Xenopus tropicalis: one gene and its partners. The protein of the gene in region 3 purifies or fractionates together with the protein of the main gene of each other region. This does not show direct contact. Links are inferred from orthologs where the notes say so. Each region holds a gene or a part of one and is shown on either strand. Other genes may lie near its edges.

Evidence for each region.
Region 1: the proteins of rabggtb (region 3) and ptp4a2 purify together in Homo sapiens (affinity purification with mass spectrometry; 3 studies listed by BioGRID and IntAct, counting the BioPlex papers as one, with this or other methods). This does not show direct contact. The link is inferred for Xenopus tropicalis from reciprocal best matches to the Homo sapiens genes RABGGTB and PTP4A2.
Region 2: the proteins of rabggtb (region 3) and rap2c purify together in Homo sapiens (co-immunoprecipitation; 3 studies listed by BioGRID and IntAct, counting the BioPlex papers as one, with this or other methods). This does not show direct contact. The link is inferred for Xenopus tropicalis from reciprocal best matches to the Homo sapiens genes RABGGTB and RAP2C.

The regions. Positions count from the first base shown.
Region 1 is NC_030678.2:86,676,371-86,680,124, reverse strand, and holds the start of ptp4a2 (protein tyrosine phosphatase type IVA 2), read right to left. Parts: upstream 2,488-3,754; 5' UTR 2,138-2,487; coding exon 2,042-2,137; intron 765-2,041; coding exon 672-764; intron 1-671.
Region 2 is NC_030684.2:67,494,639-67,498,392, forward strand, and holds the start of rap2c (ras-related protein Rap-2c), read right to left. Parts: upstream 2,290-3,754; 5' UTR 2,016-2,289; coding exon 1,743-2,015; intron 1-1,742. UniProt on the Homo sapiens protein: Small GTP-binding protein which cycles between a GDP-bound inactive and a GTP-bound active form. May play a role in cytoskeletal rearrangements and regulate cell spreading through activation of the effector TNIK.
Region 3 is NC_030680.2:81,024,540-81,028,193, reverse strand, and holds part of rabggtb (geranylgeranyl transferase type-2 subunit beta), read right to left. Parts: intron 1,319-3,654; coding exon 1,213-1,318; intron 1,055-1,212; coding exon 1,002-1,054; intron 124-1,001; coding exon 13-123; intron 1-12. UniProt on the Homo sapiens protein: Catalyzes the transfer of a geranylgeranyl moiety from geranylgeranyl diphosphate to both cysteines of Rab proteins with the C-terminal sequence -XXCC, -XCXC and -CCXX, such as RAB1A, RAB3A, RAB5A and RAB7A.

The DNA of each region.
Region 1 (3,754 bases), on a different chromosome or scaffold from region 3:
TTAGTTGAGCCGTGACAAGTCTCCGTTGTTGCGGCGCCACGTATGCCATCCCACCACCGATTTACATTCCAGCCGGTGGGATGACATTGCGCGGAGACAAATTATCCCGTGTGTCATCGCCCATAGGCTAATGTCACATGAAGTGCAGAGTCAACTTCTCTCTGCCTGCACTCTCTCCAGGTAGTGCCCACGTGCTCCCCTCTGCTCAGTGTCTCTCACCGATAGACAGCATTGGACTGTGTACAGACAAAGGGAGTGGATATCATGTAAACACACATAGTTTTGTGTTTTCGCACAGATATCTGCTCCACGTGTCTGCAAACAGGCCTGTCATTGTAGAGACGGAGTGGAGTGAATAGACTTTTCTCTGCCTGCATTTTCTCAGAGGCTGCCCCTCATTTGATATAAGTCTTACTGCAATACTGTCATGAGAAAACATTAACAAGTTAATAGAGCTTCTCCAGCAGAATCCTGCATTGCAATCAGTTTATCTAAGACACAAACATATTTATTTATATTTAATTTTGAAATTCACACAGGGCGAGCCATATTCTTCATTTCACAGGGTACCACAGACATGTGGCACTGATAAACTTCAATTAAACAAATGAATACAAAATTCAACTTAAGCTCCTCACCGGAGTAAGTCAGTAGGCTAGTAGTATACTTACTAAAACCTGTATCCCTTCCTTTTCTACCGGTGCTTTATCATATGTTGCATCGCATACTCTCACAAGGGTGGTAACTCCATATTTCTTTAGCTCCTGCAATATGAAAAACATGGTGAAGATTACATTTGAGTAATTAAAACCCAAGCTATAAAACATTAAAGGAACACAAAAATACAATGCACTTTAAAAGCAATTACTGTCTTGCTGAAGTGCACTTTTCTGCAAACAAAAAAGTGATAAAATAAAATCAACCTAAAACATGAAAAACAAAATGGGATATTTGCACATGGGGCATTCTGATAACATTATTTTTAGGTTGTGATGATTAAAACTTTGCACCTGCAAAGACGTGGGATTTTTCCAAAGGTATTTCCATACCATAAGCCTACAAAAAAAAACTTTTAAACATTTTAATAAGCCCAATAGGATTGCTTTTCCATCAATATGGATTCATGCAGCTTAGTTACCATCAAATACGAGGTACTGTATTATTACTAAAGAGAAAGGGTAATAAAACAGTAAAAAGGAGGAAAAGATATTGAATTTTCTGCTCAAATAACTACATTTTCATAATTCAAGCTTTCTGAGGTAAGAGACCCTATACCTGTTGTACTTCTAAAGAACAATGCTTCTTGGGAGGTGCACTGCTGCAGGTACAATTAACGTATGAAACAGGTTAAAGGAGAACTATACCATTGGGTGGAAAAAGCCCCCTTAACTATCATTGCCTAGACCCCCTTCACCTCTTCCTTATGGCGCAGTTTTTACGTTTATTCACTCATCACTATTTGCAATATGTGGTAACTAACGGCATATTTTTTTCACAATTTTTTGGGAATCATATTTTATAGGAGTTGTTCTCCTTAGCAACCAGGGAGTGGCTTGAATAAGAGACTGATATATGAATAGGAGAGGGACTTAATAGAAAAAAGTTATAAAAAGTAACAATAACAATAAAACTGTAGCCTCACAGAGCAATAGTTTTTGGCTGTCGGGGTCAGTGACCCCCTCTTCAAAACTACAGAGTTTTTAAAGAAAAAGGCTAATAATTCAAAAACCATAAGAAACAAATAATAAAGACCAGGTGTAAAGTTGCTTAGAATTGTTCATTCTAAGACATGCTAAAAGTTAAATTAAAGGTGAACCATCCCTTTAAGTATTATAGTAGCGGTTACCATTAGCCACAAATTCCAGTAAATCAATATAGACCCATCTACTAATGCAGGGTCAATTGAGGAAAAAAATCCTTCCTGAATGGAATACCTCACTGAATAATGAAAACAAAACATTTTTTCTGTGGTTTGTATTAGAACTGCTTGAGTTCATTGGTATAGCCAACTGCCTAGACGATACTGCATGTAGATTCTTACCTCTGTGAACTTGTTGAGTGTGGCATTGGTTGGATTATGGGTAATAAGAAAACGCATGCACTCATGAGAGATTTCTACTGGAGCTGGACGGTTCATTTTGATCAGATTAAAAAAATAAGGATATTTCTTGGGAAAAAATCCTGAAAAATTCACAGCAAAAAATATTAAAAATTTCTATAAAGAAAAAAAAAAATTTTTTTGCAGGAAGAAAAAAAAAAAAAAGACTTATTGCAAAAGTCCCAGCGATGGTTTTAATGCAATCAAGCACTTTGTGAGGGATGCAGTACAGCATCCAATGGAATTTTCTTACATAACTTATGGAAGGGAAATGAAAAAGAAATTAAAAAAAAAAAAATGGACCAATGGTCTTTATGGCAAGGAGGCACTCATTTGGAAAAGAAAAAATAACTGCAGAGATGGCCTCCGCACTTAGTCCCCACTTTGTAAAAGTCTTCCCTTCACAAAAGGAAAAATTAATTTGCAAAAGCAAGATGGTCTCAAGGTATGAAAATAAATAGTAACTCCCATATGCTTTACTGCAGCTGGCAAAAGGCTGATGATTGGAGGGTGGGCTCAAAGAGGCAGACTTTTCAGCTCACTTGTCCGCGCCAAAGCCGTGCTGAGCCTGGCAGTATTCTGTTCTTATGCGCCGAATCGCCATAAATATGCCACGTCCACTCCAAGAGGAAACCTTTGAGACAGAAGAACACTGCAAATTAGTATTTGTAGGTTAAGAAGGCTTACTTTGCAAATTCAGCTTTATTTAATTTTTTTAAAATATCAAACTTACACTGGTAATTTAGAAGCTATTTTTTCTGTGTACTCATTCTGAAAAGTTAATGTAAAGCGCTGCATAACTTGCTGGCACTATATAAATAAATGATGACGATACATTAAATTGTGCACATGGAACATATATATAATAAAAAGCAAAAAAAGTATGCCCAAGAGCAGTAACCCATAGCAACCAATAAGATGTTTGCTTCATACTGATTGGCTGCTATTTTTCGGGCACAAATTAGTTCAGCCTATGCCTGGTGGCCACACGCATATGTCAAACAACCAAACATGATACCAATTTTGCAGTCATAAGGGAAACACTGACAACTTGAATTATCCAGAAACCAATTATCCAGAAAGTTCTGAATTACGGAAAGGCCATCTCCCATAGACTCAATAATCAAATAATTCACATTTTAAAAAATGGTTTCCTTTTTCTCTGTAATAATAAAACACTACCTTGTAATTGATCCCAACTAAGATATAATAAATCCTTATTGAAGCCAAAACAATCCTATTGGATTTAATTACTGTTTAAATATTTTTTTTAAGTAGACTTAAAGGTAGGAGATCCGAATTACTGAAAGACCTCTTATCCGGAATACCCCAGGTCCCGAGCATTCTGGATAACAGGTCCCATACCTGTAGTAAACCTTGTTTTTATTCAAACAAAACTTGCCACCAAGTCAGAAATTCAAAAATAACTTGTTTGGGAAACATCCAAGGGGTTGGTAAGCAACATGTTGCTTATAAGCCAATGGTTAGGGATTACTGGTCTAATACAATGGTGCTGGAAAATTTGTGAACCTTTTTGAATTTCCAATATTCCTGCATTCATTTGATCAAAAACATGATCTGTTTTTCCCCACCTAAAACTTGATACTAAGTACCCATTTAAACAAATGAGTTAAAAACATTACACTAGTTGATTTA
Region 2 (3,754 bases), on a different chromosome or scaffold from region 3:
GCAGATAAGCTGCCGAATCTGTCTAAAGGACTCAAATCGGCAGCTTAAATCTGCATGTTTATGGCCACCTTAACTGAGCATGCACAGTTCTTCTCAACTCATTACCAGACATCCCATCCAGTCTAGCAGCCAATGAAGAGATGGCACTGCTGGTTCCCATAGAAACTCTGTTCTAGCTGTGCACTCTGCTGGGGAAATGTTTTTCTCTCCTAACCTCCTCTCCTGAGCTCAGTTTAATCATTACAGTGCTTAATCCAAGCAGAACTTTTTATAAAAGTACTCTTAAAGAAGAGATGGAATATGAATAGGAGAGGGCCTGAATAGTAATAAAAAGTAACAGCAATGAAATTGCAGCCTCACAAAGCAATAGTTTTTTTGGACCCCATTAGGAAGCTGGAAAAAGTCAGAGAAAGAAGACAAATAATTAAAAAAACTATAAAATATAAGTAATGAAAACCACTTGCAAAGTTGCTAGGTATAGGCCATTATATAAGATACTACATTTTAACTTAAAAGTGAACCATCCCTTTAATGACTCTCTACATAACTACAGAGTGAAAAACTCTTATACAAAACAGGCCCTACATTTGTCAATAAACAGTATATTAGGTGCTGGATGAACATTAAATGTAAAAAAATAAATCCCTTTATGACTTACTGGTCTTTTGACACAAGAAAACCATAGTAACTATGAAAAAAATATTATACAGTGGCCCTACTGTAAATTCCAAAAATATTAGAAATCTCCAAAAAGTTATGTGACCACAAAAAGAAAGAGTCAGAAATAGCCTTTATACAGCTCACATACTCTGAAAACATTTAACTTCTGATGTATAATAACAGTTATAGGGCTTGACAGACCCAAAGTGAGATATTTATACATGTACTTCCCTGACACACAGCACGTATGCCATCCCGTGGGTGGCCAAATTGGGCAAAGATCCACTCGCTTGGCAAACTGGCCAAACTTGAATTTTCAGCATATGGCCAGGTTAAAGGGGCAGTACACCCTCTTCTTCAACATTAGATCAATGAATATGGTTTGTGGTTCTAAAAAAGTAGCCTGGGGCTATTAAACACATAAAGCCTTTGATCTCCTCTGAAATCCTCTTAGCTGCGCTATGTTATTATACTGAAACAATAAAGATATTGGATTTTTAAATCCAAGGTGCACAATTTGCTTTTTGTCAGAGGATATGGTTTGTGGTGAACATACTTTTTGCCTGTTGCTTTAATTGAGAAATTGTTGTTGTTTAAACTAAATTTGGCAAAATCTTAAACTGAAATAGGTCATACTCTACTTTTGTTCTTCTAAAAGCACACACCAAAAATCCACTGAGAAGCCTTCTGCATAAACAAACCCCTTCCCCGACTGCAGTCTTTGTGAGAAGAGCAGCTTATTATACAAAGGGCCTCTTAGCGGATTAGTGATTTTTTTCTCAATTGTGCTTGTATAAACAGGAAGTAGCATGTGACATTACTCGATTTTAATGCTTACTCTCTTTAGCCAACACATATGTCTTAATTAATAGGAAAAAAGTATGTTCAGCACAAGCTTAACTAATCTTAAGAGGTATGCTGCCTCTGTAAGTGCAAAGCAAAATCTGGCAAATCAGCAAGATTTCTATAACGTAGCAATGGGTGTTTCTTTGCATCACTATAGTAAACTATTTAAAAATTCACTGACATGTAACATTTTCATTCATACTTGGCACTGTATGTGAAGGAACTGGTTATCTCACCTGGAATGACTGTTGATTTACCAAGCTGTACACCAAGATAAAGCCCTGGCCATTCTTAATGTAAAGATCCCTCATAGAAGCAAACTGTTCTGTGCCTGCTGTGTCCAAGATCTCCAGCACAGAGGGTGATGAGTCCACCTCAATTTCTTTGCGATAAAAATCCTCAATTGTAGGATCATACTTTTCAATAAAGGTGCCCGTAACAAACTGGACAGTTAGGGCTGACTTCCCAACCCCACCACTGCCTAACACCACCACCTTGTACTCCCTCATGGGCTCGGACAAGTGGGGTCACACAGCACATACACCACGTCAGGTTGGAGTGAAGATGGGGCTAGTGTTCTGACTTAGGATCCAAGTTGGTTATATCCTCCTGGAAACAGTGTTGTTATCTAGGGAGACTGTTGAAATGATTCTGCTGGATGATTCAGAGTACAAAAGGCAGTTCTTGCTTTGCACAGCCTACTTTGGGTCCAATACCAGGAAGCAGTTCAACTTCAAATGAGAATAGTAAGGTAAGTTTCTTTCCTGAACTGTCACAGCAGAACTAATAAGAAAAATACAGACAAACAAACAGGTTATCTATTCAAAAAATGATAAATGGTATATTATGGAAGTAAGCAGTCATGCACATACCTAGATTCCTGCTATTTCAGAGTATTACTCTAAACAGGAAATGAACAACCACCCCATTGTTTTTGTCTCTACATTTACAGGCACAAGTTATATTACTTCCATAAAGCAGGACATTCACAACCTAATAATTAGGCCAGAATTACAGACTCTTTGCCCCATTAGCCAGCCATTTCGTAGGGGCAATTTTGGTTGATATGATTATTGATGCCTCTGCCAAAAAAAACCTCATTATTTCGAGCCCTGTTCAGAAATCAGTAGAGGAGACAAATATTCTGACACCCACACATGGGCAATGAGGCTACTGACCCAGCAAAAGAGACCAAGTCGATAATTACCCATTGAAGTGAAGGGCAACAAATGCATCTTTTCTGTATGTACCAGTACAGAGGCCCCTCTACATTAGTACAAGCATACAAACTCTGAAGGCCTCCAAGCATAATCCCCAACAGTCCAGCATTCCCCGGACACTCCCTATTTTCCCAACACAGCCCGCAGTCCGGATGGCTACTCACACGTCCCGCAAAGCTGTTGATTGCAAGCTCCTTGCCGCCTGTCTTACAGGAAATCCCAACGCCACAAGTCTCATCACGCGAGACTGTGGCGTCACGACTACACGCAAGCGCAATGACGCATCTCGTAGCCGCCTGGTTGGAGTGAAACGCAGGGATGGCGGAAGTTAGAGATACACAGTCGGAAGCAGCTAAGAAGTGGAAGTAGGTCCACTCACAGACTGGTTTGCTCTGCTCGCACCTCCTACATGTGTTAGAGAACAGAAAAATACTTTTTTTTTTTTTTTTGTGTTGGTTGCCGCCCTGCCCACAATGTTGCCTCAGAAGGCATTTATATTTTCTGCTGAGAGCATAAGTAGTATGCGCCAGGGAATTGAAAAATAAAACATTTTTCTATTAGTTGCCAGTAGTACTTGCTGCCATCAGAGCTGCTTCTCCAAAATTGATTAAAAAGGAAAAAGGTTTTTTTTTTGGTCCTCGTGAAATTAATGATCTTTTTAGTATTTTTTTTTTGTAGATGGGCCAGGTTTTCCACATAATGGCTAATTCAGGAGCAGTCAATGGGTGGAAAAATATATAAAAAAAAACTAACCCTACGTGTTTTAGGATGCTGTCTGAGGGTGCTGCTATTTTTGTGCAAACAAGGGGCAGATATTTACCAATTAGGGTGAAGACACACTGGGCTACTAGTAGCAGCTACTTTTTCAAGGCTACTAAACTCCAGAAAATACCCTGCCATAGACAATACTGAGAATTGCATCTGCTAAAACACACGTAGAGACAACTATCAGTAAATGATCTGCATTGTCTAGTTCAGAAGCCACTACAAGTAGCTGCTACTAGTAGCTCCATGTGTCTTCACCCTTA
Region 3 (3,654 bases):
AACACTTCTTACCTGACCTGCATGGGATTCAGAACCTGGCCTGCAACCAAAACCACCATCAAAGTTCATACAAGATAAAACAAATTCTATGGCTTTTTCTATGTTAATAGCATCCAGCCTGCCCTGCAAGAAAGATTTACATAATTTAATACTTAAATTAGAACCAAATTAAAAGAATATTTTGCAATTAGAAAAATGAAAGCAAACATGAAACTTGGGGAGCAATTTAGCTTTTTTGTTTGTAAATAATCCTTACAGGCAATTAATAACCTAGTCCCCCCCCCAAAAAAAATTAACCCTTTACAGCAAATATAATAAATAAAACGTTTAGGCTAATGGCACATGCAGTGTTTCTTAATACCCCTTTCCCTGTAACTGAAATTTCCCCTTGCTGTCAATGCTAAAAATCAAAACCATTTAATTCACATTATGTGATCCAATTGTGAGCGTCTAATCATTTGACATAATTAGTTGTTTAGGAATCACAGCAATGTCTCAACATACACTGTAATGTTTAGAAACATTTTAAATAAGCCTAGCATGTATATAAAAAATGTAGCAATCCAAATGTTGCAACTGGACAAATGCAAATGACAACAAATCATAAGCCTTTTCAACTGGAAAGAAAAAAATTGCAGCATATTAATTTAATTATATTAATAGGCCATTAAATCCTATGAATTTTCATAGGAATGTGTCAGCATAACTTTAAACAATAAGAAAAGCTGCTGTGGGTCCACATTAGACAGGCAGGAATGAACCACAGCCTGAACAAAGGGCTACCACATCTCCATATTAAAGAGGCAATAACATACATGCAAAGCATGGAATTTAGTTTTTTCTAGGAAATAGTAGCCCCCTCAATGTGTGACACAGTGCGTGTTTATGTATCTTACAGTGTAAGTACATGGTGTCGCTGATAAGCCAACATGACTGCACTATAACAGAAGAATGCATTGTGGCATTCTGCAAATCTCATAAAAAACGCACATCTAACTTACCAAAAGGGCAAGTGTTGCAACAGCACAGAAAGAAAATCGTGTATCAATCTCCCCTGCAACATGAGAGAAAAACAGAATCAATATCCTATTTCAGAATGTTAAAGAATGTATCCAGGAGTGTAAGACCAAGATGTTTTTGAGCTTAAGTCTTGGAGCTTTAGTCATATTTTAGAGATTAAATTGTTTAACAAGTAAAAGAAAACTATTTTACCCCATTTGTCTCCAGCAAATGATCCATCCTCTTTTTGAAGGCTTTGCACATAATCAACAATTCTATTGCTGTCAACTGCAGAAAGGCTATCGTACAGTGTGAGGATCTGAAGGTAAAAAAAGTCAAATCAAAGGGAAGCCTGGCAAAAGCATAGTATAAACAATTATATACATTTTTTACATTAGCACTCAGTAGTAAGAAATACAAGTCCTGCTTGGGACTCCACCAGTTACATAAGAGTAAGAGAAACAATAGGTTATCTGAAAGCAGTTCTAATGTGTAGCACTGGCTCCTTCTGAAGGCTCAGACGCAGGCACAATGCACTGAAATGGCGGTTTACACACCAATATTAAAACTAAAAAAAATAAATTTGTTGATTCAATAAAATTTTAAATAGTAGAGTGAATTATTTACTATGTAAATAATATAATTTAGAAATAAAAAGTACATCATAAGAATCATGACAGTATCCCTTTAAGACAGTGGTTCTCAACCTTCCTAATGCCACAACCCTTTAATACAGTTCCTCATGTTGTGGTGACCCCCAACCATAAAATTACTTTTAAGACCATCGGAAATATGGGGCGACCCCTGTGAAAGGGTTGTTCGACCCCCACAGGTTGAGAACCGCTGCTTTAAGACATACTCATAAATCTATATGCCTGCTCCTCCTACCACCAAACACCTAAATGGCCCACAGGCAACATAGGCCAGGCACACACATAGTAGGGTAGGCAAAGTACAGCACACATAGGCAGCACTGGGCAGGTAGAGTATGGCACACATGGGTAGGCAGAGTATGGCGTATACAAGCAGCATAGGGCAGGCAGAGTATGGCACACACAGTCAGTGCACACAGTCAGAGTAGGGCAGAAGACAGGGAAACCAAGACCATGCAAGTAACCAATCGTGTACAGTGACGCAATGCTGGTATCACTCCTGCGTCTGAGGTGTGAACAACATAACAAGGCGGGCACTTAATGGGCTATTTCACCTTTAGGTTAACTTTTAGTGTGTTATAAAATGGCCCATTCTTAGACACTTCTCAGTTGGTCTTCATTTTTTATAGTTTTTTAATTATCTGCCATCCTCTTCTTCCAACTTGTAAATGAGGTCACTGACCCAGCTGCCAAAACAACCTATTGCTCTGTGAGGCTACAATTCTATAGTTATTGTAACTTTTTATTACTTATCTTTCTATTTACGCCCTCCTTTATTCATATTCCTGTCTCTCTTTTAAGTCACTGCCTGGTCGCTAGGTTTAATTGGACCCTAGCAACCAGACGGCTGCAGAAATTCCAAACTGGAGGGCTGGTAAACAGAAAGCTAAATAATTCAAAAACAGCAAATAATGAAAAATGAAGACCGATTGCAGAATAGTATTCTCTACATCATACTAAAAGCTAATTTAAAGGTAAACATCCACTTTAAAGGCTAAGGTATGAACAATGCAGGGCCTTACAAGTGTGCCCAGAGTGGCTTACAGCCTGAATCTGAGGTGTTACCAGTACAGGGGGCCAGTTAATCTCAGTACTGATACCATTTAAAGCTTTCACAAAGGTAAGCAGTCACAGCAGCCAGACTTTTTCTTTTTTTAATTCAGGTACTTTTTATTGAGTATACATTGGGCATTACAGTAGTTGAGGTATACAATTGTCAAACATGGAATATATGGCCTGTTAACATTGTCAATAAAAGTTTTTCACCAAGTAAATAGAGTTTTATTGCACAGTAATACACATTCTGGTTATAGTTACTTATATATGGGTGAAACCCTATAACTGTATATATTTTATTAGTCATTTACTATAGTGGGGAGGGGGTATTTATCCAGCCATTGGTCCCAGATTTTATGGAATTTGTTTGGGCTTCCTCTTTTGAGGTATATTAGTTGTTCCAACTTGACAGCAGCCAGACTTTAATGGAGGCCACGGGCCGGCACTAATCTAGAGACAGACACACATATAATGGAAAATGATTTAAAAGAATAGGGCTTACTCTGCCATATTTTAAAAAAAAAAAAAAAGCAAAAACAAAAGATGAGCTAAAGAAAAAGAGCCAGAAGTGAAGGTTTAAAGAAATAACTCGAACCACCAAAGACAACTAAGGCCTGAAACAAATACCCTTAAAGGGACAGTGTACATCCCTTTTGAACATGAACTCAAAGTCTTGCATTTCTTTGCCAGGATCCACTGCATGTTCCTACACCCAGGCCAATACAATGGTCCCAGATCCAGGCAAAGTAGAAGGCTGATGCCGTGTAGGGGCTGATTGTCGGCCTGCATTTTTCCCCACAGGCGAGGAACAGCCATGTGGCATCAGCCTTTGGTCAGTGAAAATAGCTCAAATTTCATGAAATGGCAAAAAATAGGAAAATATGGATTTTTAATTAAAACAATAGACAGAATGTAATTTTAACAAAAGTCTTACCTATTGTGTTAA